4 linked regions of the Astyanax mexicanus genome follow. The protein of the gene in region 4 purifies or fractionates together with the protein of the main gene of each other region. This does not show direct contact. Links are inferred from orthologs where the notes say so. Each region holds a gene or a part of one and is shown on either strand. Other genes may lie near its edges. The genes, in order: mediator of RNA polymerase II transcription subunit 26, med9, med1 and cdk8.

Region 1 (7,206 bases), on a different chromosome or scaffold from region 4:
TGATGTGCTGCAGCTTTGCACATTTGTCTTCTGGTTTGTCAATTTACTATTGCCTATAGTCCTATTAACTAGTCAATGCTGCACTGTCCAAATAGCTGTGTCGCTCAAGGTTTGTGTCCATGTTGCGCAGTTCTACCAAACTTGTCAGTGTGGACGAAGTTATGACGTGTTCTACTTTCCATAGTAGACGTTACACTGCTCTAGCTTAGCACTGCAGATGTTGGTTTAACAATTCAATACTCTATGTGTCACCTAGAAGTTACACTACTCTACCTGAGGTTATCTAGAGGTTACACTATATAAGTAATTGTTGAATGTTACACTACTCTATCCATTTTCAGCTAGATGTTACATTTTAGCTGTTATGTCTTAATATTATACTACTCTAGCCGATGTGTGAGATGTTATTCTACTCTAGATTACATTAACAACATTTTACATCATTTTAGCCATTAGTTATTGCCTAGATGTTACACTACTTTGGCTGATGTAAGTGAGATGTTACTTATACTTAAACTTATTCTTTGTTGCCCAGCTGTTCCATACAACACTTTAACTAATGTCAGCTAGATGTTTTACTAATTAGCTGATGTTGCCTAGATGTTACACTAATCTATCTGATTCCAGTTAGATGTTGCATATTTATAGCCAGTGTTGCCTAGATGTTACAGTACTCAAGCTGATGTACGTGAGATGTTACCTAAACTTATTCTTTGTTGCCCAGCTGTTACATACACTACTCTAACTAATGTCAGCTAGATGTTACACTAATCTATCTGATTCCACTTAGATGATCATTTTTACTACTGGTTGTTGCCTAGCTGTTACACTATTCTAACTTATGTCAGTGAGATTTTCACCTAGATTTTAGACATTGTTACCTAGATGTTACAGTACTCTAGCTGAAATTGGTGAGATGTTACTAGGGCTGGGAATCAAAATTCTGTACCAATAAGGTACTGACCAAAATATCTCTGTAATACAGAGTACCAAAATGTAATCTGGTGCCCGTTTTTCGAGACTTCTAAACTGGCGTGTGACACAACATGCTCATTGTTTGATTATTCCAACAAGATCCAAAAGTATGGCAGTCTCTCATGGTGACCGTATGAGAATGAATTTTCTCATGTCTCTGTCTGTTAAATACATGCTCTGTGAGAATATTTATCGCTTTTTGTATGGTTACAATCTACAAAAAAAGTATTGTTTGGGCATCCGTACTGATTTTTTTTAATGATATCCAGCCCTAGATCTTACACTATTTTAGCTGATGTCAGTTAGTTGTTGTTGCCTAGATGTTACACTACTTTAGCTGGTGTTGGTTTAATGTTAACACAATTCTCATCAAAACTGATGTCAGTGGTGTTATGTAATTTTTTTTTTTCAATTGTTGCCTAGATGTTAGCTACAGTACACAAGCCAAAGTTAGCTACGGTCTTACAGCAATACCTGATGTTAAACTACTCTAGATTTCGTAAGCTAGCTGAGTGTCATAGTCCTCTGTTTGATGTTACCTGGATGTTAGCTAGTTTAAATATCTTTAGCCAACTTTGTTTAGGTGTTGTAATGAAATATCCTTATTTGTTGCTAATGGTACCTGGGAACTGACAGCTAGCTTAACAGCACTTAATCTCGTTCAGGTAGAACTTTAGACGATTTAAAATCGTAGTTATTGTCCTGTAAGCTTCTGTACTCACTTTAGCATCAACAGAGTGTCAATTTAACTAACTTAAACATCGTCTGACAGCGAGATCTAACTTGTTATTTAAAAAAAACATCGCGGTTTTCCAAAAAGTTGACATACAGCCCAAGACAAGTTAGCTAGCGCTAGCTAACTAACAGTTAGCCATGTGGCTAAAGCTAGGCGACCGTCTATCCAACGTTACATAGCTTAGTTAGATTAGCTAGCAAAGTTGTTAACATTTATTTGGTGTGGACATACTTTCACTGAACGTTTTAAACAGTTGTATATGTTAAAATTCGTGTTTGTGTAGTTGTGAGGGGAAACTGAGAAGTACAACTTTTCTGCAAAGTCTGAAAATGATGTAGTTAGCTTAGCATGGCTAGTTAGCGTTAGCAGGGTTAGCTTAGCTAGCTGGCGGCTAACGGTGATCATTGTGTAACTTGTGTCAGAAGGCAAACGAAGCTTTTGTTATGGAGGGGAAAGTAAACGATGTGGCCGCTATTATATCGCGGGAAGGCGCGGATTGAGTTAATAAAGGTGTTAAACGGTGATGCCAAAGTTTTGCGTTTCGCTCGCCAACTTTGGCTAACAGCTAGCCAGCTGGATCAATTGCCATCTTTTAAACACCAACCTAGCTAGCTAACGCTAGGCAAGTTAACGTTAGCAGCTTCTCATTTGATCTTTTCCAGTCCACCTTAAATGGTGCTGCACTTTCAACGCGTAGCCTGAAGCGCCTGAGTGTGACTGCCGCACTAGTAACAGTCGTTATTTAAGGTGGAACGGAGAAGATGTGAAGAGAAGCTACCTAACCTAGCTAGTTAGCTAACTTTATCCATGTCCATTATCGTTTTAATCTACGCAAAGCGATACGCGGTGTGTATTCGCAGTCTGGAGGATCTCAGGAGTGTGATGGTGAGGTGCTTTAAACGAGTACCCGCAGAGTTCAGCACTCTCCCCCGGGGCTGGCTGGCCGCCGGCCGGCCGGCTAACGGCAGCTACTCACATTGCTGTGGCTATCGATGGCCTGCAGCAGCCGGTCTCTCATCTGCTGCGGGGTCGCCGAGGCGGTTGTCATTGCCTGCTCGGAGCGAGTCGACGCGCCGACGGGGGAAAAACCCTCCGGGTTCGGGGCTGCGGGCTCAGCGGGGACTCACAGACCGCGGCGGGCGCTCGGAGCGGACGGGAACCGCATATTGGTAAGGTGATCCTCGGCTCGTGGATGTATGAACGGTGTCAGGCGGACAGCGAGGGCTGGACAGTGGAGTCTCTCCGCTTCATAGCTCACTGTCTGTCTGTCCCTCCCTCCGCGATACCACACTGCTAAAGCACGGCCCCGCTGCATTGTGGGAAGCTAAAACTCTCAAAAACGTCATTACGTCATTAGCGTGGCAGTGGAGCTCTGTGTCATAAATAAATAAATCAAAATAAATAAGTAAATAAATTCAGTTTCTGAATCAGTTTCTCTGATTAAACTATCCATAGGTATATGCTTGATTAAAACGAACATTGGGGTTTTATTCTATAAACTACGGACGAAATTTCTCCCAAATTCCAAATATAAATATTGTAACAGAGCATTTATTTGCAGAAAATGAGAAATAGTCAAATTAAGGAAAAAGATACAGGGCTTTCAATCCTCAAATAATGCAAAGAAGACAAGTTCATATTCATTTAAAAACAACAACAACAATACTAAAGTTGTATCTTGGGAAGAGATCAGAATCAATAATTGGTAGAATAACCCAGATTTTTAATCACAGCTTTCATGTGTCTCGGCATGCTCTCCACCTGTCTTTCACACTGCTTTTGGGGGACCTTATGCCACTCCTGCTGCGGAAATTCAAGCAGTTCAGTTTGTTTGATTTCCTGTGACCATCTATCTTCCTCTTGATTACATTCCATATATTTTTTTATTAGGGTTCATGGCTAAATATCGGGCTGGCCATGAGACTGTCTTGATCGGGTGGTCCTTCATCCACACCTTAATTGATCTAGCTGTGTGGAATTGCGCATTGGAAACAAAGCTGAACTGCTTGAACATTTTTTTGCCAGGAGTGGAATAAGGTCACCCAAAAGCAGTGTGAAAGACTTGTGGAGAGCATACCAAGATGTATGAAAGCAGTGATTCAAAATCAGGGTTATTCCACCAAATATTGATCTCTGAACGTAGGATTGTTGTTTCTAAATGAATATCAACGTGTTTTCTTTGGGTTTAGGGTTTGAAAGCACTGTACCTTTTACATTATTTTGACAATTTTTGACATTTTCGTCAAATAAATGATCTAAATGACAATATTTGTATTTGTAACTGTATTTGTATTTGCAAATGTTATCAGTGGTTTATATAACTAAACCACAAGGGTAATTTTACTAGCAAAATTATATGGATCATTTTAAAGTGGTGCCTTGTTTTCAGAGCTGTATACTGTATAAATATCAAATGTGTAATTATATGTTTGTATTTTGGCTGTGACTTGTTCCCACCTGTATTCACTGCATTCACACCTGCCTAAATAAACTGCATCAGGGGTGAAAACCGAAAGCGAATCGGAGTCCTGTTAAACCCGTTTAACTGTAAAGGGCGCAGTGCTGTGGCTGTGGTAGGTAGGGGGCGCTACTCTCCCCGTATATGATCCCGCACTGAACATACACACAGGGGGAGGAGAGGCCGGACAGGCTGCTCTGAGTAACACAGCTAGTTTAACACACACCGAGTTTATTTCAGTTTAAACTCAGGCTTAGGGTCAGTGTGCGGACCGGCAGCAGCATGTTTAACCGAATGACCAGCCTGTGGATGGGGGACGTGAGTGTTAAACCGAACTTTTAACTCTAAAACTCTTAATTATACAGCGGTTAACTGCTGTGGGTTATGAAGCTGTAGACACGAGTTAGCATCGTGCTAACGTTACGTAGCATTAGCTTACTGACTGAGTTAAGCAAGGAGCTAGCTTAGCCTAGCGTAACTAGCTAATAAACAACTATATTTACCTCTTTAACACGTTATCTTTACTTAACCCTGGATATATCTGTTTATTTTATATTAAACTGAGTCAACTCTGACAGGAATGTGAGACTAGCTCTCATAAAGCTCATAGCTTTATGTCGTTAGCTAGCGTTAGGTAAAGTTAGCCTCTTATTTCCGTTCCACCTTAAACCAACAGCTGCTGGTTCTCTCATGATCAGATATTTAAAGTGAAATGGGACGTTTCTATAAGATTTACTGAAGCTACGAGCTTAGTAAGCTAGTTTTTAGTGCAGAAGTCACAAAAGTTAAACTTTACAAATAACTATAGTTAGCTAGCTTACACAGAAATGTGGACACCCCTGAGTTGTAGGCTTAACAAGTAGTTAACTAGCTAACTAATAGATTAATATGCTATTTGTCTGTCTGGCTTACTTCAGTTAAAGCTACAAATTTGTAAATCTACAGCTCTGAGAAAAAAGAGAGACCATTTCAGTTTCTTAATCAGTTTGTCTGATTTTGCTATTTATTGGTATATGTTTAAGTTAAATAAATATTGTTATTTTATTCTATAAACCACGGACACTTTCTTCCAAGTTACAAATACAGATATAGTCATTTGGAGCATTTATTTGCAGAAAAAAGAAATGGCTGAAATAACAAGAAAAGGCAAAGCTTTCAAATCGCAAATAATGCAAAGAAAACAAGTTTTTATTCATAAAGTTTTAAGAGTTCAGAATTCAATATTTGGTGGAATAAACCTGATTTTTAATCACAGTTTCATCCATCGTGGCATTTTCTCCTCCACCAGTCTTACACACTGCTTTTGGATAACTTTATGCTACTCCTGGTGCAAAAATTCAAGCAGCTCAGCTTGGTTTGATGGCTTGTGATCATCTATCTTCCTCTTGATTATATTCCACTAAGGTTTTCACTTCTTCTTTTTAAGTGGTCCCTTATTTTTTCCAGAGCTGTTTAGTGAAGTCAATTTACAATTGTAACTAACCTTGTTAGTCTATGTACCTTAAATATAGAGATGCACATGTCTGTGCAAATACCTGTGTAAGTAAAAAAAATCATTAACTACATAAAAATACCTTCTTAAAATAATCACCTTCTCAAATAAACTCTTTTTTTTTTTTTTTAGAAAACATGGCTTATGAGAGTTGTTATGGTTGGCAGTATCAACCTTATTAACAGTATCAACCCAATAGTTTTAATTTCACTCCAATCACTTATACACAGGTTGCATTATTATTATCTTTACATTTTGGATCAGTTCTGGTGAAATTCCTGTATTTTTATTATGGCAATATATACTGTACTGTCAGTTTTTCGTATGTCATGCAGCCCTATATGGAACAGAGGGATAATGACAGTTAAATAGCCTAAGGCTATAAAGGGAATGTTTTAAGCACTTTTCTTTAAATTAGAATTCTTATTGTTTTAATTGTTTTAGTCAACACTAGCTCTGTACTAGTTTTATGCTTTTATTTTACAGCTGGACCCATACATGGATGAAAACTTCATCAAGCAGGCATTCAGCACAATGGGGGAGACGGCCTATGGTGTGAAAATCATAACGCACAGAGTCACAGGGTAAGAATTTTGACCTTTAGCTATTGGTAGAAGTGTTCTCTGACGGTATTTTGCAACACAGCAATAATGCAGTTGCTTCAGAGAAGAAGTTCAACATATTAATCTGTATCAATGTATTTGTATGTTTAACAAAATGTCCTGTGTGCAATATGTGAATAATAGATTGTTCTAAGTTGTTTTGGTTGTAATCTCACAGTGCTGTTGATCTCTCACTCTCTCCCTTTCTCCCACTCTTCCTCTCCCTCTCTCCAGAGGCTCAGCGGGGTACTGCTTCGTGGAGTTGGCAGATGAAGCCAGCGTGGATCGATGTGTTCAGAGACTGAATGGGAAGCTGGTTCCAGGGTCAAATCCTGTGAGTGCTGAGATTAATTATTTCATATTTATTTATATTCATAGATTTAATATTCATTTATTTAGAGTTTAGAAGTTTATCCAGCACAGCCCCCACCTGCTATGATTAAGACTCCACAGTATTTCTGTATAAGTAGTGATTCGGAGACTCAGAGCTGAATGTCTTCCTGAATAAAGGTGGTGAAGGCTGTTTGTAATTGACTTTGTTTGAAGCTGGTGAATAAACTCTGTTAGGAAGTAGCTGACGAGTGGGATAAAGCCAGTACTGAGTGATGGAGGTATGTAATTGTACAAAAGCTTCCTCATTTTAAAGTTATTCGCCATATTTATTAAAGAAGTATCTTTTATTTTACGGGACATGTTGTTTCTGCAGCTGAAAATTATATATTTTTTATTGTTTCCTTTACATTTTAGCCCAGGAAGTTCAAGCTGAACTATGCCACATACGGGAAAAGGCCCGAACCAGGGTGAGTTCATGTCCTTTTTTTTTTATTTATTCATAGCAATATTGTCCTAGAAATAATTGGGATAAACAATATTATTGTCCTTTTTAAGGCCATTTTATACCATTGGCATAATTAAATAATAAATGTTAATAATAATGCATTTA
Region 2 (7,329 bases), on a different chromosome or scaffold from region 4:
TGAAACGTGAAAGGATATGTTCTTAGAAAATATGTTTGGTTTATTAGACACAGCTTTGACATTTTCAGCAGTAAAAAATAAAAAATAAAAAATTATCTAACAGCAACTAAAGCACAGTCAAAATCAGTAAAGTCACACGAATGATGGGGAAAAGCACAGTCCCTTGTGTGGAACAGTTCTTTTTCAGATGAGTTTGTCTGTCAATAAATAATCCATCTGTCCTTATTTACTCTGTAGAATCCTCTGATCCTCTTCCTCAGGAAGGCTTGGGGATGTCAAACATACACAGGCCCTTGTACTTGTGTAAGAGCTGGTTCTTGGTACGAACCTGATCCCTAAGCGTTTGCAGACGCTGCTGCTGTGCTGATGGACTCGCATCAATGCCAGGCATAGCTGAAATCTGCTCCCGTGCCTCCTGAATCCGTGCTCTCAGTCTGTTTAACTCCTGGTGAACATCCTGGTTCTCTTTGTCCATGCTGTGGATGCAGAGCCAGATATATCCATTTTAAAAAAGACACAGTGCAGGTAATACAACAGCAATAAGTAAAGATGAGTATCAAAAATCTGTACTTTAACAGGACAAGATTAGTAACTTATATTATTCTACTGATTAGCAGCTATGACTCTATAAGCATTTCTAAAATTTAAGGATTCAAGGAGACTTTATTGTGGTTCACATTAAATGTGGTGCATGAGACTAAAGACAACTGTATTCTCATGGTCCAGTTACACCAAAAAGAGCAATTGTTAAAATAGTTAAAATAATATAAATATAAGAAAAAAATAAAACAGCATAAAAATAAAATAATATAAAACCATACATACAGCAATATGAAATCAAGAGTGCAACTTTTGCTATAGCAGCATGGAAATGTGTGAACGAAAAGCAGTAACATATTACATCCAAACATCTGATTGGCTGTCAAATTTGCATTGCTGAATTTTATCATAAATACTTCAGAGTGGGTTTGGGGTTGAATGCTCTGTTGTAATGAAACTTACCAAATCAAATTTGTTTACAGAATGTTATTACAGCAAATGTTTTTCAAATACACTGCCTGATATCTGAGATACCCCTGGCAAAATGTACCAAAAAAGTATCTGTTCAGATTCACCACCACAATTACATTTAAAACTTTAACCTTATTTATTTTAGTGGTGGGCATGACGATATTTTATTGTAATAAGATGCATTTTCTTATTTAATTAACATTAAACATGTTTATGCATCAGTAGTATAGGAAAGCATTTTAATTGTATATTTTATGGATCTGTCACTACTGATGCATCTTGACCCCCATTTCAAAACAATTTTTCACCACCTTCCTTAATAATAGCCTTTTTTTTTTTTTACCAAAATTGTTGTGTCTGTCTAAAGCATCTCTTTATGGTGCTGTATTGCCACCTGTGGTAAATTCTTCTACAGCCTCAGCTGATCAGATTATTTGATTCTACCCCCTTAGGAATAATGCCCTATTTCAGAATGACTTAAGCTTTATTATGCCTAATACAAGTTTAATTAAGTTTCCTTTTATAATAATAAAGGCTACAAATAGACTATGCATTTTGCATGGCTGGTTAATCTTATTAGGTTTTATTGGGGTTTTAGTCTGCATTTTTGTCAGCAAAATATAACTAAAAGCATTAAAAACAAAGCTAGGTAGAAATGTGCTACAATTTGTGGCTGTTAAAATGTTTTCTGTCTTTAATTGTTTTTTGTCTTTTCAAAATTTTGATATAGCACTGATTCTGGTTTGTTTTACTGATGGGTTGTATGATAACTTTTTAAGAGGATAGTTTATCATCTGAAAAACGTGAGAAAATGTATTTTATTTTGATTATTTTAGGAAAGTGTCGATATTGAAATCTGATTATGATTAATTTATTTGTTTATCCTCCAAAGCTTTTGGTCAGTTTCTGTATAAAGTGATATTTGGACAAATTGTGGGTCACTGTAATGTTTATCAGTATTTTCTGACTATGAGAGGCAAAATTAGAGTGTGTATTATTTTTTTCTATTTGGCATTATGAAGAAAATACGGTTTTCATCCGTTTTCCCAATGTTCTATTAATCAGGAAATTTCAGGGAAAAAATGAATTTATGTTACTATTTTTCCATCCTGTTGCAAAAGTAGTTTGTAACAGATTAAATTAGTTACACTGAACATCTGGGTGTAAGAAACAGACGTTATAGAAAATAAAATAAAGCTACACTAGCTAAAAAAGTTTACTTAATGTTAGTTAGCCAGCATGGAAGTAAACAAATAACAATACCTAGCTAGCTAGCTAACCTACAAGTTTAGCTGAACAAAATATATGTTAATTAATGCTTATTGTCCTTAGGGTTTTGTTGTCAGCAGACATTCATTGGTGCAATAAGAGTTACATGTTTGTTTAACTGTATAATTTGGACATAAGTTTATAGAGGCTGTGTTAGAGTGACCCGAGTTTGGAATTGTCCGTTCCACCTTAAAGGTTGCAGCAGTTAGCTAGGGTTAGCTTAGCTTAGCTACGTTCTGGCGCCTCAGATGCTAGCTAACCTTTTAAGGTGGAACAGACAATAGCCACAGCACTCTTTTACAGCGTCACATGTAGGTTAGCTGTTTAATTACACTTTTATGCTGCCTTATTTATCCTGCATATAATAACAGTGTATATACAGCTCTATATTTTACACATCTTTAATTAAAATAATACTGTTTCTCGAGCAGTAAAGCGGGAACTCAGAAGCTCTCTGCTAACTAGCGTTAGCCTAGCTAACCTAGCGTTAGCTTTTGTAGCTGGTCCCGATAGTTTACCGGCCGTAAACCGGTATTTTCTGTATTCAGACTTTGTATTTTGGGCTTGTTCAGTTGACGACAGTCTAGTTTAGGGCTGTAAACTCTTACCATTTGATAATATCGTGAATTAGAGGTAAAAAGGAGTAATCCTCCGTCTCCTCCACCACAGCCACAGCGCTCGCCATCTTCAGCTGACTGTCCTCTGACATCACAGTCCTCTGACATCAGCAACACAGACCAATCTGACTATTATTCAGATTATTATTATTAATAATATTAGCTATTAATCACTGCAAGGCTCGCGTGCCTCGGCGTGTGACGTTTCTTTTTGTCTTTGTTTGCATTTGCATTTTTCACGTATTAAACACATGTATTCAACTCAACTCAACTCAACTCAACTTTATTTATAGAGCACTTTAAAAACAACAACAGCTGCAACAAAGTGCTGTACATAGCACATTATAAGATAAGAAACAAAATACTAGAAACAATGACAAATTAAAATGTAGGTATCAATAAAAAGTTTCAGATAAATCTAAGAACTAAGTAAAGTAAAAGTAAAAACAAAATAAAATAAAAACAGAAATAAAATAAATAAAAATAAATAAAAAATTAAAAAAATAATTAATTAATAAATAAAACAAGAACAAAGTCTTAAGTTGGGTTAAAAGCCAAGGAATAAAAATGAGTCTTTAGCCTGGTTTTAAACGTGGACAGTGACGGGGCTTGTCTGACATATAGTGGTAGGCCATTCCACAGTTTAGGAGCCGCAATTGAAAAAGCTCTATCCCCTCTAAGCTTGCGTTTTGACCTCGGCACCTCCAGGAGCAGCTGATCAGCTGACCTAAGGTACCGAGCGGGGGCGTGGGGGCAGAGCAGCTCAGTGAGGTAAGGCGGAGCGAGTCCATTTAAAGATTTAAAAACAAATAAAAGAATCTTAAAATGAACTCTAAAATGCACAGGCAGCCAGTGGAGGGAGGCCAGAATGGGAGTAATGTGCTCTCTCTTGCGTGAACCTGTTAAAAGTCGGGCAGCGGCATTTTGCACTAACTGAAGGCGTTTAAGGGAGGACTGATTGACCCCAAAATATAGTGCATTACAGTAATCCAGCCGGGATGTAATGAAGGCATGGATTACTGTTTCAAAGTGCTCATGTGTGAGAACTGACTTCACTTTTGCCAGCTGCCTAAGGTGGAAGAAGCTGGACTTGACTACTGCACCAATCTGGCGATCCAATTTAAAATCACTGTCCATCTTAAAACCCAGGTTAGAAACTGTAGGTTTCACATACAGCGCCAAGGGGCCCAAATCAACAGGGGGGGCTTCACAAGAACCACTGGGACCAAACACCATCACTTCTGTTTTCTTTTCATTAAAATTCAAAAAGTTTAAAGCCATCCAGGCTTTAATGTCATTAAGACATAACAGAAGTGGTTGAATAGAGAAATCGTCTTCATTTATTATGTTCTAATTAAAGTATCAGTAAAACATTTGGACACACCTTGACCCTTTCAACTCTGAGTTATGTTCCAAAGAGGGATAAGTATAAAAATGCTTTTTTTTCTACCTTTAATGCACACAAAGTAAGTAACTAATACCATAGTACCAACATTTTTATTTAATATGCGATATTGACCTTTATATGTTACAAACCATTTCTACACAGTGAAGTAAACATGGTTAATGTGTCAAAAATCACATATAAAATTAGTTAAAATAAGCTCTAATTACTTTGCCTCATTAGCATTAAGCCCTATCCGGATGGGATAAGTTTCTCTGTAAAAAAAATATTTCACACTTCCACTCAGTGATAAAACTCTTGCAACCAGACCTCATTTAAAAAACAGGAGGGCCAGTGAGTTTTTTAGCTTTCTCGGTCACATGACATCATGTTCAGTAGCCCCTCCATTTCCACTAGCTGTTGTGTTTACGAGGATCTTTGTGAAAACCTGCGCCCAAAGTGTAATTACGGTGCGTAGCAGTGGACAAATAGCTATTTTATTAAATGCGAGGTGATGGAACTCAGAGATGTGCGTCCGGATGGGACTAAATTACCAGAGGACCACGGAGTTCAGTGAAAAACTGTAGGCAATTCAGCCTATAATTTTCTTAGAGGACCCCTGAAAAAAACACATAAATGGTCGTTCTGGATGGTCATATCATAGAGGACCCCCATAATAGAGAAAACTAGCAAGCTGCCAAAGTCAGAGCAAACCTGGCTCTTAAAAGAGAATGGCACACGGATAGGTTTATTTCACATTATGGCCAAAACACACCCATGATTAATTAAGAGAATAAGAACGAGTTAGTTTCAATCTGTACAAGGTGTACTTTTCCAGTCGTTACAATAGCAAAGGCACACTGATTCACCCTAAATCAAGCTGCATGGTGCACGGTTGGTGGCTCACCTACAGATGACCTCTGTTGCACAGGATAAGTTCATCAACCTTACCAGCCTCAGAGTTACCAGCCTAAGAAACCTCAATTTAACAGCACTCCACTCAGACACAACTACTGCAAATTTGTGGTCTTTACTCTGACTCGAACCCTGGAAAGTCTGGGTCCTGATTCAACACTAGTTACTCTGGGCCGCTCTTACGTGGGACTTATGTAAGAACCTTTTCCAACCAGCTAAAACATCACATGGTCTCTGGCAGAGCTGAGCAGCATCCTGGTCAGATGAGGAAAGCTGGAGAGCACTATAGGGACCACATTGTTTGTCTCGACACACAAGGCTAGGGTTGGACAGGGAGATGATCTTCAGAGGCTTTTTGATTTAGCATGAAACAGTGAATCTGCAGCATCTGTGTATCGTTTCATCCACGGCTTCCTCCTGACTGGAACCAACCTACGCATGAGTCAGGCAATAGTTCAGTCAGAGATGGGATTTAACACGGCCGAGTCTCTTACATAGCTGGAGATCACGGGTGTGCTGTGGAGCTTTAAAGATATTCTGGATTATTCGTTTCGGGTCAATGTCTGATCTCTCCTTAGCAATAAAAGATGGCAAAAACATTGGTCTATTAAAAAACTGTTTACATTTTCAGATTCACCCTGTTTTCTGTAACTGTTTTTTAGTACGGTGTGATGGATGCAGCACCTAGGAGTAGGCCATTGTAAACTGGGCCACATCTGGACAAGGCTTACCTGTAAAACACCAAAAAACCCAGAAAACATACAATTTTGGGCCCACGCCCCAGTTAAGGTTCTTTGAGTTAAGATAAGTCTTCTGTAGTTCAAAACTAACAAAGTTGTACCCACACAGCTAATTCATGGTTCTCACTACTACACAATTTTAGTGCAGAATATTTTTTTGTAGTTTTTCCAAAAAGATGTGGCTAAATGATTGCAAAAGAGTCACAGAAGCACAGCAATCATCTAGCAGGTTTGATATCTGGACCAGTTGGCAAGCAACGACAACCTACAGCCAATGAGAATGCATATAGAAAGAATTAATGTATCTTCTGCATTGCATCACTAGTTCTTGTGTGCATTTGTTTTTGGAGAGCAGCAGATGATTTTGTGAAAAATTTGGTCTTACTAATGTGTCTCTAATAACTGTGTAGTTACACATTAACAATCCATGTAATAACAATGTAACTACTGTCAAAGTACACATTGTTACAGATAAGAATAGCCCTATTTGAGTAATGTTTTAATTCATATTATGGCAAGAACTACTCAATTAAGCAAAAGTCAACAGGACCACCCCAGAAGAAAAATAAACTTTTCACTCTTTCAACCCTAGGAGTTTCCTTGCTCTGGGACAAATCCAGTATATTATTATTTTTTTTATTGATGCATATGGATGGCACAGCTTTCACTACTGCCAGTGCTTAGTTCTTTTTGAGAAATTGTTGTTGTACTTTGTCTTTTGCGCCTCACATCTGTGACCCCTGGAGCATTTCTTTATCTTGTTTGTATTTTTTATGCCAGAAATCTGCATTGGGCTTTCTGAGCAGTCTGAACATAGCCTTGGTAAGCTAGTTAGGTTTCTATCTTTATTTTTTTATTTTCACAGCACTGTGTGTGTGCATTTACACACTTCGCTACACTGGAAATTATGACCACCCTCATTGTTTTTCTGATGAAAGATAAAGTTAGATTGCTTGATTGATTTTTGCAGAGGCTAAAAGAGTTGACTCTTATCAGTGAAATGAGTCATTTGATGTGATTCTCTGTAAGCAGCTGGATGGACATTGCTGTTGAAGAGGCTGCAGTTTTGATCCTGACGTGGTGTTTGCGTCTGTGTGTGTGTGTGTTTGTGTGTGTGTGTGTTTGTGTGTATGTGTAGTGTAGTGTTTGGTCACAGTTGGCCTCACTGGTTGGGTGCTACAGCAGGTAAACAGAACTCCATCTGATAAAAGGAGAACTCTCTGAGAACTCAACCAACCGCTCATCTAACCAGAGCCAGCCATCGTCCAGCTGCTCCTGGTTCTCCCTCTGATCAGCGCTTTGTGTGTGTGTGTGTGTGTGCAGTGGGCGAGAGATGACAGATCTCTCTCTCTGTGAGTCAGAGGGTGTATCTGTGGGCGCAGCAGCTCTGATG
Region 3 (7,435 bases), on a different chromosome or scaffold from region 4:
ACTTATCCAAGCCTGGAAATTGGTATTTTTAAATTCCAAGACTTTTCCAGGTTTTTCATGACCGTATGAACCCTGGTTTACTTGCTCAGTGAAAAACTTAAAAACAAATAACCTTCATACAAACAGTGGTTTTATATCACAGTGTTCATTAAAACATCTCCACAGCTCTCCATGCAATATTTAGAATTCTCATCATATCAGCAGCTGGTTTAGTAAAATCAGAGTGTGCTGATGGTAAATCAGCTGCTGGTGGAACTGAACACATCCACTGGGACGCTGGCTGGGGTTGACCAGGAGAACCAGGAGGAATCAGGGACCCAACTTTGCTGTTTAGACTTCCTCACAATATCTCCACTAATTTCTTCAGAATAAGAAATTCTGGTTACTTTTAACTGCATTTATGTTTACCTGCATCTGATCTAATGTTTTTACAGCAAACACTCTCCTAATGTTTAAATAAATAATTTTAAATGATTAATATAGAGGATTAGAAACTAAAAAAGCACAGATCTGTATTTAAAAATTACATTTGTTTGAGTTGTGATAACCAGTAAAGCTTTACCTTTTAGTGCCTTCTGTAGTGTCTCCAAACAGCTGAGCAGAAGCTGGTGTCCGGCTGAATTCATCACCCCACGCTTTTCCTGAGCACAAACAGAAACAGTGTTAAAAAACAAACAGAGACTGTATTAAATGCTCAGTTACTCCCACCACTACAGTCCCTTTAGCCCCTTTGCTCTGCTCTCACCATGGCCTGTCTAACGATCTTGCTGGTCTCCTGCCAGGGCCGAGCGGCATTGTGCTTGGCGTGTAATCTCTCCAACAGGGCGGACACCCGAGTCTGCTTCTCTGCCTCTGAGGGGACAGACAAAACACAACAAAACAAAAATTAACAGTAAACAAAACGCCCTTGACCTGTTGTCAAATTTTTGCAAGTAAAATTATAACAATTAAATCACAGCAACTAAAATCATATCATTTAGACTATACAAGCTATACAATGTTGAAAATGTACAAAACGTGTTCCTATCTCTCCTCAGCTATCGGTACAAGGCTGACAGTCAGTATTTGATAACCCACTACATAAGAACACAGGCAACATTCTTTTCTGGAAATCATTGTTTTGGCCCCAGACATTGTATCCAGAGTGAGCGGTTCAATCAACAAATGCAGATTAAAGATGCATCATGCAAAAAAATAAGACAAATACGGGAAAATATTCACAATTCAAAAATTTGCCTTTCATAAAATATGGGTCTATGAGATTTGCAAATTTTTTTTTTAGTATCATTGTCAATTGCAACACTTTTTCTGCCAAATTTGGAGATCTAATTACCCAAACCACTCATTAGGACTCCCAATATCACTGGTAATCCCCTCAACAGTGAAGACCAATGTGGTGGCACGCATGTGCTGCTGACCCACATCACCATGGGGAGACATCATGGGCAGGGGCAAACATCATGTGGTGAGAGAATGCTATCTACCCACCCACAGAGAGCATGTCCCAACAAAAAACAAACAATTTTAAAGGCCTTAATGAATTTGCCTTAAGTCACACTCACATCAATCCCTGTTATAGGTGAAAAGGTTGATCGGCTGTGTATCAGTATCGGATGACTTGAGCTCCACAGTGCAGTTCTGTATAGTGATTCACAGACTTTGAGCTGAGCTAATGTTATGTTAGATTATTGTTATTATTAGAATTATAACTTATTTATATATTTCTACGATACTAAGATATTTCTAAGATATGCCCCTAAACCACTGATAGGGCCATCTCAAATTCCTGTAATATTATTCTACAGACCACATGAAATCCACATGCTTCTTTCACACTCAGATGATGCTTCTGTATCTCTCAATATGTCCTGAAATTATAGTTGCATAGTGGAAAAAATTACACTATTTTTGTTGTTCTGCAATGTTTATTGTGATATTCAACTAATTTTAACAGATTTCTCCAGAAGTCAAATATTGAATTAAATGTTAAAATCATAATAATGCAATCCACGTATCCACTGATGAAGTAAAATTAATGATACTGGACAGATGGAAAATAAGAAGTGTGTTCATTTTTCTTTCATATTAAGCAGTAAAAAGTAAAAAAAACTGACAATAAACAGGATACTGATACTGCTACTTCTTGTCATTACATATGTAGGATGGGTCTCGCTATCCTTCACACTGATTGGTGTGAAAATTGATGTCAGTTTGGCGAGTTGTCTTTCCATCATGTTTCCAAGTCCCTTTCAAGTGAAGGTGCATCCCACAGCAGAACTCAGAAATTAGATTCCACTCAGACTTAATTGTATTTCTGTTTATATATAAGGTGTCAAAATATTGATTAAGGTGGCTGTAATGATGGGACAGATTTGTGAAGCTGGGTCCCAGTAAAAACACACTTACGAAGCTATTCATGGCCCATATTCACCAGTAACCCACCTGAACCATGTTCCACCTATTGGACCCTGTTGACCGGGTATCTAAACTTCAAACCTGCGCTGTTCTGTTAGTTGGGTATTTAGCAACCTATAGCTAACTAATCAGCGAATCACTTTTAACAGTTTCTCTTTTAAAATACTATATGTCCTTTTATACAGACACCTTGCCATAACCCTATATATAACTCCCACATCTGGAATCCTTATAATAAGTAACATTATTATACAGAATTTATTAAATAGGCTGCCCTGCTCTTCAATTCATAACAGCAACAGATAATGCTAATGCTACTGCTAACACTAATGCTGGTATAGCTTGCTCTGTTTGTTAGCTAGCTAGCTAAGCTAGGCTATGTGGGTAAAAGACCCAGCTCAGTTCGGCTGGTAAAGCGCGGTAGATAGAGATACGCTGGTTAATCCGGCGGGTGAAAGTGATCCGCACACACGTACCGGTTCCCTCCTCCACCCTGAGCCGCTCCGCGGGCCCTGGGACCGCGGCGGTGTTTGCAGGCTCCGCGGCGGGGCTGCAGCCGGCTAACGGCACCGCCGCCATCTTCGCTCCCTCACGGCCGGTGTGACGCAGCGAGGGCGCCTGAGTTTGGGTCTGTCCCAAATCTCACAGTAAAAGTGCTGGGCTGTGTTCCAAACCTCCCACTAAGCTCTAAATTCAGGCTTTAGGGGTTTACAGGGAAAAAGCAGAGATATTCTTCTGTGTAAAACCCGAATTACCCACCTTCTTTAATGCAAATGTTAAATCAAAGCTTTCTGTCTGAAGTGTTTAACTCTATTAAAAAATAACATTTACTTAACATTGTGAATTAGGTTTTTTCCCCCAATGATGCGCATTATATGGAGGAGATAAACATGCTGAAAGGAATAAAAGTTCATCATATTTGTATATTTTTATATATTTAATACAGTAAACACACTTCCATATTAGAGCAGGTCATATTGCTAGTATATTCTAGAGGAGGTCTGAAACTGAACACAGAAGACCAAAACAGAAGAGGCCAGTTCAGTCCTTCAGTTAAAGAATTTTCGCTGTGGCTGCAAAAAGGCAGAATAGAGGAAGAAGAGAGTGTAACTGAGCGAGAGACCGATTGATTGATTAATGAGAATTTACTCATTGGCGCAAGCTACGAGATAATAAATTGTTTGGTTACCAGATACAGATCTGGCCAGCTTCTTGTTGGAGGAACGATTTATTTTGTTACGCTGTGTTATATAATCTAGTCTAGCTTGCCTCCTAAAGTTTTTACATTATTTCATGATGTTGTGGTCCAGATTTGGGTAATTAGGGCATAGATATTGCACATATTTTGATCCAGATTAGAATTTTTACTGATACTTTGTTTAAGTTTTACTATGTGTAATGTTTTATTTAGTGCTTCTGTGTAGTCATGTAATCATATTCTGTTTCATCATAGCTGTAGACACTGAATGTCTTGGTTGAGTCATCTTTTTTACCAATAAAGAAAACCTGTCATGCAAAATGACACAGACAAATTATCGCTACAGTTCAGATAGCTCTCTTGTGTTGGAGATGTACTGGCTCTGTGTCATTTCACTCTTAAACAGAAGCAAAAGAATGGAGAGGCTCAACCCTTACCTGGACATGAGTTACACTCTGCAACTGTAGGGGGAGCCCATGAACAAAAATATTAATCTTATCCAGTGCCCATTTAACACTGGAAATGAGTTTTTTAACAATGTAATTTGTTTCGTACCGTCAAATACAGTTTATCTCATTAAGAAAGCACCGTATCTCTATTTCTGTAGTAGAAAGGGAAACTTTGGCACAGCTAGTCTAGTAGGGGTGTTTTAGAAAGCTCTGCATAAAGGTTCCCTTTTCTACTGGAAGGGCAGAAGGGCATCCATATATGGCACTATGACACATTATCAATCATTCTAGGCCAATCGTTAGCCATCTAACATTTATTCACATTGATTTGCAGTGAATGTGAATATAAAGAGAAACCTTTTAGACAGGAGAATTCATTTCAGACAAACCAAGTCTCCCTGAAGCTGCGGGAGTCTCCCGCATTTCGGTAGTGGCTCCCTGATACCCGCGAGTCACATATAATCTCCCGGAATTCAGAACGAGTGCCCCAAACGCGCACTGCACACAAACACGCACACAGGCGACAGACTTTTTTTCTCTAATCGCGTGTGGGAGAGAGAGAAAACAGAGAGGCTTCTGATTGGCCTGTTCTCTGCAAAGAGTCTGTGAGACAGCCAATCAGTTTTTTTTAACCTCCCTGAAATCAACTTTTGCAACTTGGGATGTCTGTCATTTAATCTTTGAAACAATGAATGCATAAGAAAACCATCTTTTGCAATATTGAATATGTAAGAAAAAACATATAATATTTGAAACGATAAAGCCAGGTTCTGTACCCATAACCCTTTAACAGTATTTGTAAGTTCATATCAAATGAGTTTGAGGTCAGTCTGGATACTGTAGAACTACTGTATCGCTTGCTTATTGAAAGTGCTTTATGTTATAACAGTTTGGTTTGGGACTGATGAGATTAGTAAAAAACTGGTAGGAGAAAGTCAACAACAGTACTTAAAGAAAGGCAATACAATTTAGAAAAGGATACACTTCACCCTTTCAACTTACAATTCTAACAGATGCCATCAGGCAAATGATGATGCCAACAGCTACTAGTAATATTCACAGGCGATTATTTGTACCAAATGCAATAGAAATTCTGAATACATCAGTTGTTTAATTTGTTTTGCAACTTTTTTATTTTAAAATATGTGATATGTTGTAGATATCTTTGTGCCATGAGTGACCAAAGATTCATTTTCACATTTGGACAATAAACACATTCTATTCTATTCCGTTGTAAAATGTTTTACAACATGATGCTTATTTTAGATAAGAATACTTTAATCACAATATGAAACTGATAGTAGGGTTCAGTGATCGGCTGATTATTGCCATTTTTTATAGGGCAGGACAGCTTTAACCAGCACATCCAATCTCATCACATCCAGGATTTACATACTTTTCCCCCCTCACTGTGAATGTAACATGTTGTGTTTAGTAAAACCGTGCAAACATATAATTTTATTGTGTAGTATGTCTTCCTCTTCATGTAAGGGAGTTTTTCCATGCCACTGTTGTCGCAATAATAATTGTCATGTCTGTGGTGCTGCTCAAAAAAGGACCTGTTTTTCTCTGTAAAGCTGCTTCGAGACAACTTTTGTTGTAAAAAGCGCTATAGAAATTAAATTAAAAATCAAATTGAATAGTCAGAGACCCCTCTTCTGTATTCTCCTATCTTGCAAAAAGAGTCTGTAAAAAGTACTAACACCAGGGGTGCCAATAATTGTGGAACACATGATTTCATTTAAAATATTTTCCCCACCAAATAAAGGCACTTGAATTGCATTGTTGTCCTATAATTATAAAAAAAATAGTCAAATTGACACAGACAAAAAAAAAGTATTGTTACTGTGGGTGTCGTGATCAATTGTGTGTACATAATGGAAATATCACTAAATGTGTGGCTGAAATGTGTGAATAGTGTGAAGGAAGAACATGCATGGAAACACCAGCATCATGTGGAGTAATTAATATCATGTTGTATCATAAAATAAACAGTGTATTATCATTATTTGGATCTAGCTAATTCATGGAAGCTGTCCTGTATTTAGTTGGTTTGGTTAATGGTGGTAATTACAATACATAGGTCAGGTAAATGCTGTAAATACTACACTAAATATGTGACTGAGTTAATGGCATATTCTGTACTTTATTTAGTAATAAGTTAAACATAATAAAAGAACAGTTGATCACATTTTGTTGCATTATTTATTATCTCCTCTGGATATCATTAAAATGTACTTTACTGAGGATGCTGTGGAAACCCTTTGGAGAAAAGTTAAGCTAGACTGTTATTTATATTGCACATTTTATTTGTCAGTATTTTCCCATATTTTGTGTTTGTTTTAAATAAACTGTAAAAGAGATTATGTTGCTTGAAAATCAGTTGTGAAAATATATACATAATATATATACATAAATAAATATATACATAAATAAATTATAAATATAAATATAAAATGTTAAATCAATTATATACATCTGCTGTCTAAATATCTGCATTGGCCAATAAAAAAAACAATATCGGTCGATCTCTAGCAGGGTCTTTGACTGCTAGTTTTCAGTACCAGGGGGAATGTCCAAATTCACTATACTGTAGTAGCACAATGCAAACAGAGGAGGGCAGCATTGGCAGACATGTTGAAGCTGTAAGGACGTGCTCCAGTGAAAGACGCTGAGTACCTAGAAGCATATTTTTTTCTTAGAACAACCATCCCATAAAATGAGCATCAGATAACAAATAAGCATATGCCTTTAAAAAGCCACCAACATTCGCCTGGCGATGCTAGAGCTTAAAAAAGCAATGAGAGAATCTGAACACGGCCTACGCAAAGTAAATAAATAAAATAACGTGAAGAGAAAAGGTGTGTTGGTGTGTGACTGTAAAGCTGTGTTTGAGTAAGAAAGAGAGGGAGGAGAGAGATAGAAGCGATGCCCGCTATAATTGATGTGTCTACTGGGAGCTGGCAGGGGATGGGCTTGGCATGAGTGCCAGCATATCAGTAGAATAAAGGAAGGAGGGGGGCACCGCACATGGGCACAGAGGCTTCGAGCTGAAGCTGTGCCATCAATCAGAGGGTACTTCACCCCGCCACGGCAGCAGGGACCCCCCTATTGGGCCGTGGGGTGGGTTAGCGGGGCACGTTCGCCGGTGCTAAGTAAGTCTCTCCTGCCCCACCCGCCCGTTATACAGTGGGCACACAAACCCGGCAGCCTCTGTTACCCATCTCTTTCATTCCGTGCCATTAAGATCTTCATTGATCCGCCATTTTGGTTCTGAGTTTAGCGCACTGCCTGGCACCACCTGCAAGTCTTAATCCGCCATCTTGGCTCCGTCACTGCAGCTCAGGCTGGTCTTCTCGCTGGCCGGGGCCGT
Region 4 (6,961 bases):
GCAGCATGAACTCTCCAGGCAGGACAGAGCGTTTGGCTCCACAGAGCTGAAATTCCAGTGTGTTGGCTTGTCATGCTGGTTGCCAAGTGGCTAGCATTAGTGAGCTCTGCTAGGGTGCTTCTTCGGCGGAGCTGTTCTTTATGGCCCTCCGCAGCGCCTCTAGCGGTATGGCGGTATGTAAAAAAGGCATACTGGTTTTAATTTCCCCTACGGAAATACCATATAAACTGGTATACTGCCCAGCACTACTGCAGCCTAGACTGAAGAACATGGCAAAAATCTACAGAGTTGGGGTAAAAAAAAATAAAGGTGCATCCAGAGATTTCTGCTCTTGGATAACTTCTTCATCGGTCTTAGACTTTAATAAGCTTGGTGGAGCTATAGCAATCATAGTTAGAAAATGACTAGTGGTGCTAAATATTATAAATTCTTTAAGATATTAAACATAGTCCCAACCATATAACCCATGGGTTCTTCTAAACATCCACAAAGCATTACAAATCCCTTCCAACGAATAACCAAAGGTACTTTTCTCCCTTTTGAGATAAATCAGTAACTTTTAATTTTTAAGATTCTTATTTAATCTACATTTTCTCCAAATTTAGCTAGGCCCACCCATTCAGCTGCAAGGCAGCTTTATATTCCCCATCACAGGTAATGCCACAACGCAAGGAGGGTAAAAATAGCTCATGCCTCCTCTGACACGTGAAGTCAGCCGCCTCTTTTTCAAACTGCTGCTGATGTAGCATTACCGAGTAGCCAGCACACTCAGAGGAAAGTGCAGCAACTCAGTTCTGACACATTAACTCACAGACACCTTCTTCTGAAAATGGAAAATAAGAACAGTGCAAATTTTCCTTTTGAAAGGAAATGTGTGATATAACTTTCCTTATGTGACACTGCATATTCTTTATGCTACTCTCCACTGATCTAATTCACTTAGTCTTCATCACTTTGCACTATGCAATCTCTTATAGAGACATACTTAGCAAAAACACCTGCCACCTCCAATAAAAATCCAATTATGGAAAGTAAAAAGCATTGATATTGGAACATTTCTGTGAGAATCTGATTGCATTTAGCAAAAGGAGCATTAGTGAGATGTACAATCACTCCAGAGAGAACACAGTCCCAGTTCAGAAGAAATGTGGTGGAAATTACTGTATGTTTTTATTATTTTAATATATATACATATACTGAAAAAAGATTGAATGTCATTAAAACATGTAGCCCTAATAGATGTAAATGGAAGTGCACTGGATGAGTATCAACACCATCGGTTAACTTACACCACTCACACCAGTCTGCACATACAGAAAAGCTCGTTTTACAGGAGGGATAAATAGCTAGCGATGTGACACTACTGACATCCGACTGATTTTACTGCTTGTCAACACAGTTGAGACGAGATATCTATGTACCATTATGGCAGACGATGCAACACCAAATTTGGATTCCAAAGAGGCGTTTTATAGCGTTTTTTATTCAAAAAGAAAAGAAGAAGCTGTTCTCCATAAATGACAACAACACAGTCAAGTTACACCACTGTCACCAGACTACTTTCACTGCTAGTCTGAACACACAAGAGGCTCATTTTGCTGAGATATCTATGTGCCATGTTGGCAGACAACAAACTGCGATAAAAGGGTGTTTTATAGCTATCAAATTAAATCACATTTATTTATATAGTGCTTTTTACAACTGATATTTTCACAAAGCAGCTATACAGAAATGTGACCACATAACAGAAAATCTAGCAAAAGATTGAACATACACTACAGAACCCCCAGTGACAGATGAAGAAAAAATAAAGGGGTTACTCTTCATAAATTACAACAACAACACAGCCAAGTTAATGCTACTCCACTGAACCCAGACTGCTTTCACTGCTAGTCTTAACACATAGAGAAGCTTGTTTTTATTACAGAAGAGATATATAGTTATGTCATGAAGGCAGACTATGCCTAGGTAACACACAACACCAAATTTAGATTGTTTTGACGTTTTATAGCTATAGTTTTTTTCAACCATAGAGAAAATAAAAGGGCTGCTCTTCATAAATGACAACACAGCTAAGTTACCTAGCTACACCACGTACACCAGACTGCTTTCACTGCCAGTCTGAACACACAGAAAAGCTTTTTTTTTTATTACAGAAGATATATATATATATATATATATATATATATATATATATATATATATATATATATATATATATATATATGCCATGAATGCAGAGTATGCCTAGGTAACACACAACACCAAATTTTGATTGTGTGGCGTTTTTTTTCAGACAAACAGAAAATAAAGGGGCCGCTCTCCATAAATGACAACAACACAGCTAAGTTAGTTACCCAGCTACACCAGTGGCACCAGCCTGCCTTCACTCGCAGGTTTACTGCACTCTGTGTTTATTGTTTCTGCTGGTAAATCTAAAAGACACGGAACCGGTCGGTGTAGCAGCACAGCAGAGATGTCAGGGGCATTCTCTGATATTTTCAGACAGTCAGACAGCAGGGCTCACAGGCCTCACTCAGCTCGTTTTGTCACCGAGTGGTGAAACTCACCCGTCTTTCCTCTTGGCTTTGTACACATGACCGTACGTCCCTCGCCCCACTTTGCATCCCTCGTACTCGAACAGGTCCTCCACTCGCTCTCTCTCTCCGGTCAGCTTAACTTTGAAGTCATAGTCCATCGTCCCGGGCGGCTGTGGGCAGGTCGGGGTGTGTTTGTGAGTGTGTGTTTGTGTTTTTCTGATTGTTTTAAAGCGCCGCCAGGGAGGCAACTTACTTCCAGCGCCGCTCACACAATCAGTTGCCTTCCCTCGCGTCGCTTCAGCTCAGCCGCCACATGTACCCCGGGCTGAGTGTGAGTGAGGAGGGGTAGCGTGTTTTTTTAACGTGTGCTGAGGTGAAGCACCACCATATGTGGCTCTGCCCCAAATAGTTCCTTTAGATTTTCTCTCGCAACCGGTATCTCACTCGGGAGAGCAGGCTCCGCTTACGGCAGTGTCGCAAAACCGTCGCTCGCCTGAAAACCCCCGAAATCCGACTCGTGTGAACCGGTTCCGTTGAACGGCTCTTTTTGACTCGTCTGTTGAACCGATTCATTTTACCCCCGTTGGAATGGAAGCTATTTTGCAGGGTCCACGCCAGAGATGACCATACCTATTGTCTTAAAGGAAGAGGGAGGATGAGCGTGTGTTTGTGGTGGGTTTGATGCTGCTGGTCTAAACATATTAGCAAATGATTCCAGTTAAAATGTGTTTAATTATAAAATAATTAAATTACACTATATATAAAATTACAAATGTAATAGGTTATTATATAAAATACTAATAAGTCATGTTGTGGCTGGGAGTCACACTTTGGGCAACCCTAATTATATATTTATATCAACGTATCCCATAAGAGCACAGACTCATTTTTGAATACTGATACCAAATTCAAACTAAAATCTGATTATTTCAGTGAGCAGCTAATTCATGTTTGTTTCTGATTGTGGGTACATGACTGTAAATATTTTAATGCTAAACTCCTGATGTAACACAACAACAATTTCATAAACTTCATAATATTTTAACATTTTTATTCTAGAATTTGTTTCAGATATAGTTATATAGAACATCAAATTATTAATTAAAGTATAAAGAAAAAATCAAGTGAAATAAACGAACAGAGATTCGCAGACTGTTCTGTAATGATGCTCTTAGGATGTTCAGTATATGTCACTTAGGGACTTCTGCATTCAAATGCAATGACTCTGCAAGAGAGGCTACGAGAACGAGGTAACCCGAATCGTGCGTTCGACTCTTTCGAACGGATGAGTTTAAATGAACCGACTCGGCAAACTGAATCGAACTTTTCATTACTAATGAAAAGACTGGGGCTTTGTGGAGGCACCACGTGGATGTTAACTCTTTACCAAACGAGTATTTGAAATTAAAAAAACGACTATTTTGCGTCTTAAACTTGCGTTCGCTACTTAAGCATTCGAGTGTAGTCTCTGTATAAAGCTACACTCCACGTCCTCTTCAACGATCTTCACTCAGAAAAAACAATGGCCTTTGTTTGGCACTGACACCAAGAGACACCCTGGTCCCAATCTCACACAGCTATGTGTTAGCTAAGATTTAGAAGGACAACATTATAGAAAAGGTGAAAGAAAAAACAACAAAGAAAGATGAGTAATTTTAGACAATATACATTTTATTGGAATATTATAAAAAATATTTGCTATAAAGTATGTTTGCACCAATTTCAGGCTTTAGCAGCAAATACATATGCGATGTGCCTGTCTACGCTTTAAAATACTTTAAAAATGTAGAGAAAATTACTGGCATTTCTAGTTATATTTCTAGTATATTTCCACTATACGAATGGAAAATATTTTACTGTGATTTTAAAGAACTAAAAATAAATCATAATAATAATACATATATGCATATATACACAGTGCAACAAAATATTTTTTCCCAGTTGGATATTGCAAATTTACAGTAATTCCAGAAATAACTGTGATCTAGTAATCTCAGTAAAAAATGTAAGGAAAATGGTATGATCCAATATATGTACAACAAAAACTCAAATTGCCAGTTGAATATTGCAGATGTACAGTGTTGTAATGTAACTACTTTTACTGTAATTGTACATAAATTCTAGTAATATAGAAGCAGTATGATACAGTAATAAATGTAAGGGAAACATTGTGATCCAGTAATCTTATAAATAAGTGTAAGGAAGACTATATAATACAATATATGTACAATAAAAGACCAATGTCTTTATAGTTGAAGAGCCCACTAAATATTAAAACTAGTAATGTCTTTCTTAAATAAATAATTGAAATAATTAAATGAAAAAAAAAATGTTTGGGGTGAGTGGGTGTGGGGTGAAGAAGAGGGGGTGCTTGTGAACAGGAACGTGTGTGCAGCGCGTCAGGTAGCCGGCCGGACGCGAGTGTGTGTGGCTCCGTTGGTCCCATCTTAGCTCTACATTGTAATCAGAGCGAAGAGGAAAAAGAGAGGACTCGTCCATATTATCGCTGCTGTTTCAGGTACTAGACTGGCGGGTTTATGTGTGTCTCCGCGGCTCTCTTTCGCTGAAAGCGGCCGGGTTGTTGTTGGTGTGTTTAGCTGTGTGTTCGTGGCGGGACCTGTCTGCTGTCTAATCGGTTGTCAAACCCGCTTTTTGGTTAGCTGTTGGTTATTAGCACGGCGGCTATCTGTCGACACCAGCAGAACCGGCTGCGCAGACAGAATGACAGCTCGCTGTTCGGCCTCGTCTGCGCATGTCGTACTATAACGTGGCCACGTGTTATTGCTGCATGTGAAGTGTGATTTTAATAACGTTTTAAAGAGAAGTCGGGGCTTCTTCATTGTGCCTCGGTTAGAAACGCTCACACGGTGCCCGACTTTTCTTAGTCACGTACCGCCTTCGGGCAGCTCTGATTGGGCATTCGAAGTGCCAGTCATCGCTATCGACTTGTTGATTGGCTGCTGCGCTGGCTACGTCAGCGTGTCGCTCTGCTTGCTTTACATTCTTCGCCTTGGCCTACTGTGTTAGGTTATATAGCTCCATAGTCAGAGACAGCAGAGGTGCTGGTGTAGAAAGGGCAGCGGTTTATTTACGTATATATTGTTAATTTTCGCGTTATTGTGTTACTGTCGTTAGGGTGGCCACATATTTAAAGCCTGTTACAAACAAGCTTTAAAGATGTGTTGTTTAGAGCAAATCCAGAGAGATTGGTATATGTTGGTATGCATTTATTTTATTTATTTAACTCATTTAACCTAGTGGTGCCATCCTTCAAGTGGTTGCTGTGTGAGATATTAAGGAGCTCTGTTGTCTTGTTAATTAATCAAGGTGTCACTTCATGTTTTCTGACAGCAGTGCGTGCGTTTAATGTGATTTTTGCTGTCTCATGTCTATGCTTCTAGCCTATTTTTTTTAGACCTGCTCTGCTCAGTGGTCCTGCAGGACAGTCAGCTTTTGTCTTTCATTTGTATTTTTTTATTTTAATCAGTCTAATTGATCTTATGAAAGTACTTTAAGCATACATAAACAGTTTGTTTTGCTATTAGGGTTGAAAAGCCTCTGAGCGAGTGTGCTTTGGGTCATCATTCTATGATTACCTTCTCTTCATTATTTAGAGATTAATATAGAGCTCTTTATGATCTTATCATCATAAATTTTTTTTTTATAATGGTCATTTTGCAGTTCACATACTGGCATTTGTAATCGCACCTTTAATGATGTTCATTTTTGTTATGGTCTTGAGGTCATTGTATCAGCAGCAATAAGCAGGTAAGTGCACATAGGCTTGCAGCTCTAATGTTGAACCCTTCTGTTTGTGGGACTGTTGAAAAACAGCGGTTTTCATGGTGATGGACCCTCCCGGCGGGCGAGATGAGCGTCGCCGTCAGGCTGAGCGTCTTCGGCGGGAGGAGGCATACTATCACTTCATCAACGAGCTGAGCGAGGAGGAGTATCGGCTGATGAGAGACAGCAACCTGCTGGGCACGCCTGGTAACCTCATTCACACACACACACACATTGGCACAGTATTTAAAATGTCTTGCTTGAGCACTCATTTAATGTAACTCATTATATCAGCAGTGTTAAAACCTTGCTTTATTTAGAAATGATGTCAAATGTAACCTGTATTTGTCGCTAAACAGCCATCCAGGCTTATTATTCACGACACAACTGCAAACAAAGGCGATAGTGGCTGGCTGACAAATGACTGTTTCTCTTAGTTCAGTAACTTTTAAAGACTGTGAACTTGCTAAATATGCCTCTACTATACACGAAAAGACATTTTTGTGTATAGTAGAGGCATATTTAGCAATCAACGATCTCACACCAAGAAGTACACTATTTTAAAGTAGCCTCTGAGAACCTTTTTATAGGGCCTCATCTGCCTGAGACATAATTTTAATTGATGCACAGGCAAAAAT

Evidence for each region.
Region 1: the proteins of cdk8 (region 4) and mediator of RNA polymerase II transcription subunit 26 purify together in Homo sapiens (affinity purification with mass spectrometry; 5 studies listed by BioGRID and IntAct, with this or other methods). This does not show direct contact. The link is inferred for Astyanax mexicanus from reciprocal best matches to the Homo sapiens genes CDK8 and MED26.
Region 2: the proteins of cdk8 (region 4) and med9 purify together in Homo sapiens (affinity purification with mass spectrometry; 10 studies listed by BioGRID and IntAct, counting the BioPlex papers as one, with this or other methods). This does not show direct contact. The link is inferred for Astyanax mexicanus from reciprocal best matches to the Homo sapiens genes CDK8 and MED9.
Region 3: the proteins of cdk8 (region 4) and med1 purify together in Homo sapiens (affinity purification with mass spectrometry; 14 studies listed by BioGRID and IntAct, counting the BioPlex papers as one, with this or other methods). This does not show direct contact. The link is inferred for Astyanax mexicanus from reciprocal best matches to the Homo sapiens genes CDK8 and MED1.

The regions. Positions count from the first base shown.
Region 1 is NC_064411.1:30,858,355-30,865,560, reverse strand, and holds the start of mediator of RNA polymerase II transcription subunit 26, read right to left. Parts: upstream 3,022-7,206; 5' UTR 2,760-3,021; coding exon 2,688-2,759; intron 1-2,687. Other genes in the region: trnau1apb (tRNA selenocysteine 1-associated protein 1-like), read left to right, coding at 4,452-4,487, 6,148-6,245, 6,498-6,597, 7,011-7,063. UniProt on the Homo sapiens protein: Component of the Mediator complex, a coactivator involved in the regulated transcription of nearly all RNA polymerase II-dependent genes.
Region 2 is NC_064422.1:7,758,540-7,765,868, forward strand, and holds med9 (mediator of RNA polymerase II transcription subunit 9), read right to left. Parts: upstream 3,012-7,329; 5' UTR 2,990-3,011; coding exon 2,889-2,989; intron 477-2,888; coding exon 257-476; 3' UTR 18-256; downstream 1-17.
Region 3 is NC_064422.1:3,176,169-3,183,603, reverse strand, and holds the start of med1 (mediator of RNA polymerase II transcription subunit 1), read right to left. Parts: upstream 3,016-7,435; 5' UTR 2,995-3,015; coding exon 2,892-2,994; intron 853-2,891; coding exon 746-852; intron 642-745; coding exon 563-641; intron 1-562. UniProt on the Homo sapiens protein: Component of the Mediator complex, a coactivator involved in the regulated transcription of nearly all RNA polymerase II-dependent genes.
Region 4 is NC_064408.1:96,297,480-96,304,440, reverse strand, and holds the start of cdk8 (cyclin-dependent kinase 8), read right to left. Parts: upstream 3,028-6,961; 5' UTR 2,699-3,027; coding exon 2,571-2,698; intron 1-2,570. Other genes in the region: E3 ubiquitin-protein ligase RNF6, read left to right, coding at 6,383-6,530.